3 linked regions of the Elephas maximus indicus genome follow. The protein of the gene in region 1 binds, or shares a complex with, the protein of each later gene. Links are inferred from orthologs where the notes say so. Each region holds a gene or a part of one and is shown in the gene's direction. Other genes may lie near its edges. The genes, in order: TAF1C, POLR2F and POLR1H.

Region 1 (3,747 bases):
CGCTGGGGCTGGGTGCGGGCTTCAAGGGATCTTGGCCCAGACTACTCGAGGGCCGCCAAGGGATGGGCCCGGGACTGATCTGCAACGACGCTGCCAGGCGGGGCTTCCTGCGAACACTGTCCGCGCTGGCCGGAGAGGCCATGTCTGAACCCGAGCTCCAGAAGGCGCACTGCGCCGGATCTCGCACTGAGCGAGCACTTTAACATACACCGGCAGCTCCCGCGTGGGCAGCACGCGGTTGGCAACGCATCTCGAGCCCCGCCCCTCTGCCCAACCAATGGAAAGGCTGGTCTCCCAGCAGGGCACCACAAGCTCCGCCCCTGCCACCCAGCCAATGAGAAGGTCTGTCTCCCGGGCAGCTGTAGGAGGGTGCGCACCGTGAGCCCCTCCCCTGCCTGTCCAGCCAATGGGAAGGTTGATCTTCTGGCCGCTGCCAGGCCAATGGGACGACAGTCTTGGCTGACCTCGGAATTCTCACTTCCGGGTGGGGCCTCTGGAATGGGCTGGGGTGTGGCTCTCCCAGCAGCCCCTTCTCGACCGTTGGGTTGTCCTAGGGATCAAAGACCAGGAAAGAGCGGCTGGCGGCCTTGGGGAGTTCATCCTTACATCCTGGCTGCTACCATAAACACCCCCCCAACACACCCCACCATACCACCCCTCCGTCAGCAGCTTAACCCTTCTGAGCCAGGGGTCCTCATCTGGTAAATGAAAAACCCACTGCTATGGAGTCAACTCCGACTCAGCGACCCTATAAGACAGAGTAGAGCTGCCCCATAGGGTTTCCGAGGCTGCAAATCTTTATGGGAACAAATTGCCATGCCTTTCTCCCACGAAGTGGCTGGTGAGTTTGAACCCCTGACTTTTTGGTTACCAGTGAGCTAATGACTGTGCCGCCAGGACTCCTCTGATGACTGAAGGTGCTTATAATTGTAACAGCCCCACGGGATCATTAGATCTAAAATTTAAAACTATTGTAGGTCTTCCTTAAGCTAGGAGTCCTTGGGTGGTGCAAACAGCAAATGAGGCCCAACAGTAGGTGCACAGTAAATGTATACTGAATTAATTAAATAGAATAACCATATCAAACATGAGTTTGGTAAAGCAGATGTGGGATTCGAACGCAGTTCTGACTGGCCTTCACTATTGGAACTTCAGGGTCCCCACCTCCCACGGTACTTCCTGCGCCCCATTCCCTCTCCACCCGGGAGGTGGCGCTCACCGACGCCCGTGAGGCCGAGCTGGGAGGCGGGACTTCCTGTTACCGAGGCGGCACTTCCGGCCAGTCCCGGAAAATTATTAATTCACGCTGTGGGCGCGGTCCCGTTGAACTCCCTGGCGCGTGGGTGCAAATTTTGGGCTCTCTCGCGGGACAGGGGTCAGGAGAGCGTTGCGCAGGGGCCCATTTCCCAGACGAGTACGCCGAGGCCAGGGCACGTAAGTGCGCGCACCGCCCAGACGGGAGGAGAGAGCGCTGCCCACTGGGCGGCGGGAGACCGGGACTTGGGTCCGACAGGAGAGCTCGAATTTACCCGGCGGGCGGGCGCTCAGGCCCCAAGTTGTGTGGCTTTGGGACAAGTCACTTAACTATCTGCGGAATGGGTGATTAGCAGCTGCCGGTAGCTCACGGAGTAGTGCAGATTCTACAAATTGTTAAGTGTCGTAGCAGCTGCCTGGCGCATGTAGCACTAGATATGAGGCCTCTGCTCTTGTCGGGTTGAAAATGTGGGGCCTGGAGGTGGAGTGGGAAGAGGTCGTCGAGGAGGCTGGATTAGGGATATGCGTGAGGACATGGTCGAGTAGGAGATGCACGAGGAGAGACCGTTAGTATCCCCTTTACCATTTTCTGCGACTTTCTTGCTGTTCCCGGTCTTGGATTCAGCCAGACCTGTCCTATTTCTTCAGCCTTGGACGTAGGAAGGGCATGGAAAGCTTAGAGGGAGGGCGGGAAGCCGGCCAGGGGTGGTCGAGGCTGCTTGCCCAGGCAAGTCCTGGATTCCACCAGCGCTCTCAGTTGGCTTGGGTTTTTTGAGGCTGTTTGATTCTTTTCTCTCATTCATTCATTCCTAGATTTGTTTCTACAACTTATATGTACTGATTGTTAAACCCATTGCTGTCAAGTCGATTCTGACTCATAGTGACCCTATAGCAGAGAGTAGAACTGCCCCTATAGGGTTTCCAAGGAGTAGCTGGTGAATTTGAGCTGCCGACCTTTTGGTTAGTAGCCTAGCCTTTAACCACTCTGCCACCAGGGATACGGACTGATTATTACCAAGTGGCAAATACCAAGGCACTGAGAATATATGCACTTCATTTATCACAAGACCTATTAGAGCAGAATCAAACAGCCTCCTCCTTATGTATTTAACCACAAATTGCTGTGAATGCCCTAGAGGAAGGGTACAAGGTGTTGTGGGAGAAGGGTAGGATTGGAGAAACTGGGAGAGGATTCCCTGAGTAGGAGATCATTGACTCCAAATCTGAGTGCTGGGACTCAGTCTAAGCAGAGGAACAGTGTGCAAAGGCCCTGTGGTGAGAAGAGGCACGGTGAAGAACCAAAAGTAGATCAGCGTGGCTGGAGCCCAGGGAACGGAGAAATGAGCTGGAGACATTTTCTGTCTGCTGGGTTATGGGGGATGCAGCCACCTTGGAGAGGCTTGGGTGCCCCTTGACCTACAGAAGCTAGAGCTTCTGTAAAGATCCTGTAAAAATTCACTGAGCACCTCCTAGATCCCTTCCTCTCTCCTCTCCTACATGGGAAAGAAAATCATAGCAGCAGCCAGACATCAGGGACTCAGGAATGAATGGACACAGTTCATGTCCTCAGAAAGTTTGCAGTCTAGTGGAGAGACAAGCCAGACACATAAATCACAATTAGGATGAGGCTGATACGTGCTCTGAGAAACATTCATTTAGCTGGCAAGTATTTATATAGAACCTACTATGTGATAGGCAGTGTGTGGTGCTGAGAGTACCTGGATGTGCAGAGGTTACAGCATAAACTGATAAAACGCAATGGTGGTTCCAAGGGAAAAGATTTCTGCTTACTGGACTCTAATGTGAACGTTTGGTTTTGGATGCACAAGGATGCAGTGGTTCAGAGCACAGACTTTGACTCGCATGGGGGATCAAGCCTTGACTCTGGCACTATGAGCTGTTGACCTTGGATAAGTTACTGTCTAACATGCCTCAGTTTCCTGAACTCCACAATAGGGCCAATAGAAAGAAGTGTGAAGCTTATAATGCCATGTCTGGAGATGTGGGGCTCAGTAAGTGAGCACTGCCGTCCTTTTGCGTTTAATAAAAGAGGCAGGGGTGACCTAGCTGCTCTTCGTATTCTAGAGCACTTTGTATTCCCAAAACCCTTTGACATAAATTTATCTTTCTTCAACATAGTCAATCAGTGTGTTTTCTGGGAGGCCCTGTGCTTGACAGTGGGAAGATAGGTGGACAAGACTAAGTCCCTGGCTTTGGGGGAACTTGAGCCAAGCCTTGGGAGTTAGGGCTGCAAACTGCGTAATCATATCATAATGCAGGCTGATAAGAGCTGTGATAGAAACATCCCTCGCCGCTTGTTGGATGGGCATCCCTTAACGCTCTCCTCACGTGATCTGTTTTCACTACATGCCTCCTCGTTTCTCAAACTTGCCGAGCACTTTTCCGCCCAGGGCTTTTGCACTCGCTGTTTGTTTTCTTCGCAGTTGTCTGCGTGGCTCTTTCCCTCGTTAGATTCTAGCTTTGCTCGCCCAG
Region 2 (3,747 bases), on another chromosome or scaffold:
AGTATTCATTAAGCCAGGAGCTGGAGCTCCAACAGTGAGCCGAAACAGGCACGATCCCTGCCCTGATGGAGGTAATGATCTAGAGAGAGATGAACATTAATCTAACGGATACAGCTAGATATCTGACAACAGGTTGGGCTATGCACAATGAAGACAAAGGTATTTGATGATGTGAGGGCAGTAACAGGTGCTTCTGTTGTGGTGGTATTGGGGGGGGGGTTCCCTGAGGAAGTTGCAAGTGTGATCTGAAGAATGCACAGGAGTTACCTACTCAAAAATTCTTAGCTCTTTGACTTTTGGCTACCGGCTAGCTGTAGGGCAGACTTCCCATCTGTAAAATGAAAATCGCCATTACTAAGCCACAGGTCATGTAGGGGAGAACTGAGTTACAGAGGTTAACAGTTACCACCACTTGTCTCTTCGTGTCCTTCAAACACTGACCTCTGAGCAGTTCGCAGGTCCCCGGGGTGTAAGCGGCTGGCTGGGGGCAGCGCCAGAACCCCGTTCTTTTGGTTACTGCCCCCAGCCTCTCCTGGGAAGTCATGGGAGGGCCCTGAGTAGGGAAAGACACAATGAAACACATCCCCTGTCTCCTAGTCCCAGTCTCTGTTTCCTTGCCCCCAACCCCACCCAAAGTCTGGGAGAGTAGGTGGAGGATCTGGGTGGCAGGAGAATCGTGATGACTCTAGTAAATATCGCGACAGTGCCCGATCCCGACCCTGACACACACACACACACAGAGTCCTCATTGGGACCCAGCGCCTGTGGCAGGGAAGTCCCCTCGGGAGAAAGGGAGCGTTAAAATCGCCGTGGTCACGGCAGTACCCATGGGGTGATGTGCCAGTTGAAATCTCACCCTAAAGGAAGACGTGTCTGGGTGCCCCCTCCCTGCGGAGAGCGGCGGGTAAGCTCCCGGAGACGGACACCACGACTCTGCAGGAGCACCCGACGCAGAAGCCCCCCAGAAATATTTTGCGATCTCTGCGACTGGAGCCGGCACCTAGCGGCTCTGGCTACCATGGTAACGTGCGTAAGCCATTCGGCGCATGAGCATTGACTCACTGGCCAGCCTCCCGGAAGTGATTGCCTCTGGGTCACGGCGCAGGCGCAGGGTACGGGTGGCCGCGCGAGGCCGAGGCGCGCTGCTTGTGTGTTCTTGTGCGGCCGTGGAGTGCAGAGCGGGGTCTGTGCAGCGGTGACGTTATGTCAGACAACGAGGACAAGTGAGTGCAGGAGCGGAGTGGCCTTTGCGGGAACCTAGGGAGGGACGGAAGCGAAGGCATGGGTCGGAAGAGACTGAGAAGTCTGGGGGCTAGGGGCAGTGTCCGAGGGGACGGGGATACTGGGGGCCTGGGGACTAGGGGCAGTGTCTGAAGGGACGGGGATACTGGGGGCCTGAGGACTAGGGGCAGTGTCCGAGGGGATAGGGATACTGGGGCCCTGGGGGCTAGGGGCAGTGTCCGAGGGGACGGGGATACTGGGGGCCTGGGGACTAGGGGCAGTGTCCGAGGGGACGGGGATACTGGGGCCCTGGGGACTAGGGGCAGTGTCCAAGGGGACGGGGATACTGGGTCCCTGGGGACTAGGGGCAATGTCCGAGGGGATGGGGATACTGGGACCCTGGGGGCTAGGGGCAGTGTCCGAGGGGACGGGGATACTGGGTCCCTGGGGGCTAGGGGCAGTGTCCGAGGGAACGGGGATACTGGGGTCCTGGGGGCTAGGGGCAGTGTCCGAGGGGACGGGGATACTGGGGGTTAGGGGCAGTGTCCGAGGGGACGGGGATACTGGGGCCCTGGGGACTAGGGGCAGTGTCCAAGGGGACGGGGATACTGGGTCCCTGGGGGCTAGGGGCAGTGTCCGAGGGGACGGGGATACTGGGGCCCTGGGGGCTAGGGGCAGTGTCCGAGGGGATGGGGATATTGGGGTCCTGGGGGCTAGGGACAGTGTTTGAGGGGACAGGGATACTGGGGGCTTGAGTTGGAAGAGACTGAGGAGCTAGGGTCTAGGGACAGTGTCTGAGGGGACAGGGGATACTGAGGGATTGGCAGAGCTGCAGAAGGGAAGGGCCGAAAACCAGGAGCACAGACCAGGCCGGAGGGTAGACACAGAAAGGCCCAGGCTTGGGGGACCTTATTCAGTGAATAAGGTGTCTTTCAACAGACTGCCACTGAGTTGGGCTCTGTGCCTTGTACTGGGAATATGAGGTGAATTAGGCACAGTCCCTGTCTGCAGGCGACTACTTTCTAGGAGATGAAACTGGCCCATGAAGAGATAATATGGGGTAGCAGTAGAAGTATGTAGCAGGGAATAATCCGGAGGGGCGAGGCTGGTGAGACCTCACAGAGGTGGTGAAGGGCTATGAAATGTGACTAAGAATTGGCCTGGTGGACAAGGCAGAGAGCCTTGCAAGTAGAGAAAACAATGTATCCTAAAGAACAGAGACATGACAAGGTGTGATGTGGGGGGAATTTGGGAAACCAGCTTGTGTTCTGAAAGCAAAACATGTCAGGAAGGGGCAGCTGAGAGACAATAAAGACCAGATGATTGAGGGCGGTTGTGCCTTTTTAAAGACTTTATTCTTGATCCTTGAGGTGAAGGGGACATTGAGTTGTTTTAAGCAGTGGGGCGACACAGTTAGGTTTTCTTTTTAGAAGAGATACTTTGCATACATTGTGATGAGTGGATTTGGAGAGTCGGATTGGAAAAGAAAGACCAGTTAGGAAGTTGTTGCAAAATTATAAACTGGGAAAGGATGGAGACCTGAATTTAGATTATGACCATGGAATAGGGAGGAGGGTGCAGAGAGATTTTAGGAGATGGAGTTGACAGGACTTGGTGATAGGATGTGGGTGCAAAGGAGAGATGGAGGTTGAGCATTTTCTAGCTTGAGGAACTGGGGTGGTTCTTCCAGCCATGATAGAGAACCTGGAAGAAAGAGCGGATTGTTATTATCTTCTTTGGGTGTGGTAGGATGATCCCAAGATCAAGAATAGTGGTGAAGAGGGCAGATGTGAGAGACTGAGGTCACGAAGTCTGTTTTATCCATGTCATATTGAATTTGACTGAATTGGGTTATTTATTAAACAAATATTTATGTGTCAGGCTCTATTCCAGAAGCTTGGAATGAATTGGGGAAGGGGTGGGCGAAGCACGGTGGTAACAGGCTAAGTAAGTAAATGTGTGTTAGGAGGTGGAAAGTAGTATGGTAAAAATAGAGAGCTGGGGGCAGGACTGTAGGTTTCAGTTTTAAATAGGAAAGTTACTAGAGAGAAGGCTTTGTGGAGATGATGTCATTTGAACAAAGAGTTGAAGGAGGTGAAGGTGTTAGCCACTGGGCAGATGGGACAGCTAGAGCAAAGGCTCTAAGGTAGGAGTATGCCTGGAGTGTGTGCAGAACAGTCAGGAGGCCAACAGTGTGGCTCCTGCAAGGGGAGGGTGGTAGAGGATGAGGTCAGGGAAGTGATAGGAGGCCAAATTATATAAGCTTGTGGACCACTGTTAGGACTTGGCTTTAACTCTGATTGAAATGGGGAGCCATCAAAAAGTTGTGACCAGAGAAGTGATAGGATTTTAGGTTTCATAAGGATCACTCTGGCTACTGTGTTGGTAATAGACTGTAGGGAGTCAAAGATAGAAGCAGGGAGTTTAGTTGGGAAGTTATTGCAGTAATCTAGGTGAGAAAAGGTAGTAGCTTGAACTGGGGTGATAGTAGAGGTGGTGAGAAGTGGTTGGATTCTGGATGTATTT
Region 3 (3,747 bases), on another chromosome or scaffold:
AACAGACCTCCCTTTGTAAGATAGGGAAAATGACATCTGGATAAGTGAAATTATAGCGTTTGTTACCCTCCGGTAAGTGGCTAAGAGTTTTTAAGCCCTTCACTATTACATATGTCTCCATTGTGGCAAAGACAGACCGGTGCCTCTCCCCAAGAGAGACCACAGCTTGTAATCTTCATGGAAGAAAATAGTGATGACTCCAAAACTTCTATACTGAAGGAGGTTAGCACAGTTACCTGAAGATGGGAGAGCTGGGCGGCAGAAGAGTCATCTAGAAGCTGCACTCTCAGGACAAGAAGTCTACTCAGATTGTAGGTTACAGACGAATGAAAATAGCAAGATTTTTCTAAAGATATTTGTCTAAAGATATCTGTTCTAAAGATCTGTGTTTTATAAAAGATTACAGAAATGTCAACGGACCACCTAATGGATGGCAATGATTTAGAGTTGGTTGGGCAGGGGCGGAAGAGGAGGGAGGGCGGTCCCCAACTGAGCCAAATTCAGCCGAAGTCTTAGTGAAATCCTATCCAACGGCTGCCCCCTTAACGGAACCTCCCTCTTGTGGCAGGCGTCTCAGGGGTAGGGCGGAGGAAGCCCCAAACCGCCTCTCTTCTACCACTTCCAAAGTCCTGAACCCTTTCCCAAACATCCCACTTTCTCTCTGCTTCCTGTTGTGCATCCTTGCTTCGCCTTCGCCACCTTCTATCCCTTAAGCCAACTACCCACTTCCAAGCGCCTCTACTCTTGCCCCTCAAGCGGCAACGTGCACTAGCACTATAACTCCCAGAATGCTTAGCTTTGTTTTGAACCACTGCGCAGCCGCAGAAAGGAGATAAGCAAACAAAAACGAAAAACACCAAACCAGCTGCCGTCGCTCCAGTTGATTCCGACTCATACGGACCCTATAGGACATAGCAGAACTACCCCATAGAGTTTCTAAGACTGCCACATCTTCCTCCCGCGGCAGCAGGGAGATACAGGCTCAGAAATGGCGACAGTTATAGTTTTCTAGTCCAAAGAAATTAGTATTCAGGGAGGTTAGTACGGTTTTGAGGGGAAGGTCCTTGTGGGTTGCAAGGCCAAGAAAATAAACATTCTAGGGTCCTGGGGGAAAAAGCCGGACCCGCAGCCAAGTTAGCCGTTTTCTATCCGACGCCACAGTACCAGGCTAAATAAATGTCGTCCCCGATTTCTCTTCGTAGACCCTCGGCTCCTTCCTAAAGGCTCTCTGGTTCCGGTTCGCAACTTCTTATGACGTCATAGCCAATCGTGAGCCGGAAAGCCTTGACGCTCTAGCCCGCCACGCTCTCGCTGCTCCGCCGCCGGCGCGGAGACAGCGTGGTAGCCTGCGGCATTGACTTGCCGCTTTCCTCTTCCGCTGGAAGGTCTGTAGGTCCGGTGATGCCCGATGAGGTTTGGGTATTCCTAACACTTCGGTTCTCTAGTCGCTGAGGCAGGAGACGTGCGTGGGATGAGGGCTTGACCTATATATACCCAAGTCCTGGGACACAATTGGAAAGCCTTCTGACTAGGGAGGTTTTAAGAAGCCTCCCTTTTGTTGATAAAGTCATCCTCCCATCCCAAGCCTCTACCATCAGTCCCGTCATGGATCTCGCTGCCACCTGCTCCACCTTCCAGTCGGACCTGGATTTCTGCCCGGACTGCGGCTCAGTACTGCCTCTGCCCGGGGTTCAGGATACGGTCACCTGCACTCGCTGTGGCTTCTCCGTCAACGTGCGGGGTGAGAAACTCGTACTCAATGGTCCCGGGAGGGCCCAAGGTGGAAGAGTCGGAGACCTGGGGACCCGAGATGGGCGGGATTGGGGAAGGGACTCTGGAGCAGGAAATCAGGCACTTGTACCTTTGGTACAGAAGGGGACACAATTGGGGATTATATGGGGCCTCTCTTCGACTTTACAAACAGTTCTTACTTCTTGTGCAGATTTTGAAGGAAAGGTTGTCAAAACTTCATTTGTGTTCCACAAACTGGGGACAGCCATGCCTATGTCGGTAGAGGAAGGGCCTGAGTTCCAGGGACCTGTGGTAAGTTAATGAAGTCAAGAACTGTCCATAGGGGGAGAGTGTGATTGCAAAGATCTGGAGGGTTTTGGACCCAGTTCCAAGAGGGAAGAGGGGTCTTTAGAGCAGATATGTCTGTGATAGCCTGATTCCTATGAGAAGTAGGGGGCTTTGATTAGGCCTCCCCTGCCTCACTAGTTCTCTTCCCAGATTGATAGACGCTGCTCCCGATGTGGTCATGAGGGAATGGCATACCATACCAGACAGATGCGCTCAGCTGATGAAGGGCAAACTGTCTTCTACACCTGTACCAACTGCAAGTAAGTATTATTTCCTCTTCCTCTGCTTTCTCAGTCTGTTTACTAACTAAAATACAGTGGCTTAAATTTTTACTAAACATTTCTTTTCTTTGATCTCATCCAACATTTCTGTACAGTTTAGGTAATAGGGAGATATGTGGCCTTTTTTTTTTTAAGTAAATTACTCTTTCTTACCCTTTTTATAGCAGTTAACTAAACTTTTAAAAAATATTTATAAGAAGATGAAAAAATACAGAAGGCAGGTATTGCTTAGTGGCCACCATGTTATGCTGGAGCCTACCACTGCAATCAAGGTACTTTTACTTTGGTGAGAATTAGTAAAGAGTGTGGACTCTGAATGGTTTTGAGAACTGGCCTTTGTCTTTGGTGTTCTGTAGTTCCATTATAATGTGTCAAGATGTGGCTATCTTTTATTAATCCTATTTGGGATTTGTTGGACTTTCCAAAACTAGGGATTGATTTTTTTTCTTAAACAACCTTATAAATGATTAACCATTATCCCATTGAATGTTGTCTTTCCCCTATGTTTAATTCTCACATTCTGGATCTCTAATTAATTGTGTAAGGAGTCCCTGGGTGGTGCAGAGGGTTAAGCACTCACCTTCTAGTTGAAAGGTTGGCTGTTCGAACCCACCCAGAGGTGCCTTGGAAGACAGGCCTAGTGACCTGCTTCTGAAACCTCATGAAGCAGTTCTACTTTGCACATGTAGGGTTGCCATGAGTTGGAATTGACTCACTGGCAAACAACAATTAGTTTTGTAGTAAACCCTCTGTTCACTATTTCTTACAACCTGTCTGTCTTAGTTATCTAGTGCTGCCAAAACAGAAATACCACAAGTGGGTGGCTTTAACAAACAAATTTTCTCAGTTTAGGAGGCTGGAAGTCTGAATTCAGGAAGCTAGACATCTGAATTCAGGGCACCAGCTCTAGGGGAAGGCTTTCTGTCTCTGTCAGCTCTGGAGGAAAGTCCTTGTCTCTTCAGCTTCTGTTCCTTGATTCTTGTGATCCTCATGTGGCATGGTATCTGTCTTCCTCCATCTGCTTGCTTGCTTAATCTGCTCTTTTATATATCAAAAGAGATTGAGTTAAGACACATCGCTATACTAATACTGCGTCATTAACATAAAACAAAGAAAAAACATTCCCAGATGGGATTATAACTGAAGGTATAGGGGTTAGGATTTACAACACATATTTTGGGAGGACACAATTCAGTCTATAATACTGTCTTTCATATTTTCCATCTTTTTTCCTCTCTATGCTGCCTTCTGGGTATTTTCTACAGGCCTCTCTTCTAAGTTACTAATTCTTTCTTCAGTTTATTTCGGTTATTATTTTTTCATTTTTATGAGTTCTACTTGATTAGTTTTCAAATCTTAGTCATTTTTAAGTCATTTTTTAGTGTTT

Evidence for each region.
Region 2: TAF1C (region 1) and POLR2F share a complex: the UniProt entries of both Homo sapiens proteins name them as parts of the pol I pre-initiation complex. The link is inferred for Elephas maximus indicus from reciprocal best matches to the Homo sapiens genes TAF1C and POLR2F.
Region 3: TAF1C (region 1) and POLR1H share a complex: the UniProt entries of both Homo sapiens proteins name them as parts of the pol I pre-initiation complex. The link is inferred for Elephas maximus indicus from reciprocal best matches to the Homo sapiens genes TAF1C and POLR1H.

Annotation. Positions count from the first base shown.
Region 1 is NC_064839.1:50,142,240-50,145,986, reverse strand, and holds the start of TAF1C (TATA box-binding protein-associated factor RNA polymerase I subunit C), read left to right. Parts: upstream 1-1,292; 5' UTR 1,293-1,434; intron 1,435-3,747. UniProt on the Homo sapiens protein: Component of the transcription factor SL1/TIF-IB complex, which is involved in the assembly of the PIC (pre-initiation complex) during RNA polymerase I-dependent transcription.
Region 2 is NC_064822.1:181,850,757-181,854,503, forward strand, and holds the start of POLR2F (DNA-directed RNA polymerases I, II, and III subunit RPABC2), read left to right. Parts: upstream 1-1,086; 5' UTR 1,087-1,203; coding exon 1,204-1,223; intron 1,224-3,747. Other genes in the region: C4H22orf23 (UPF0193 protein EVG1), read right to left, coding at 442-544. UniProt on the Homo sapiens protein: DNA-dependent RNA polymerase catalyzes the transcription of DNA into RNA using the four ribonucleoside triphosphates as substrates.
Region 3 is NC_064819.1:89,721,916-89,725,662, forward strand, and holds the start of POLR1H (DNA-directed RNA polymerase I subunit RPA12), read left to right. Parts: upstream 1-1,318; 5' UTR 1,319-1,385; exon of another isoform or gene 1,386-1,585; 5' UTR 1,586-1,605; coding exon 1,606-1,741; intron 1,742-1,942; coding exon 1,943-2,043; intron 2,044-2,229; coding exon 2,230-2,339; intron 2,340-3,747. Other genes in the region: putative uncharacterized protein ZNRD1-AS1, read right to left, coding at 237-271. UniProt on the Homo sapiens protein: Core component of RNA polymerase I (Pol I), a DNA-dependent RNA polymerase which synthesizes ribosomal RNA precursors using the four ribonucleoside triphosphates as substrates. Can mediate Pol I proofreading of the nascent RNA transcript.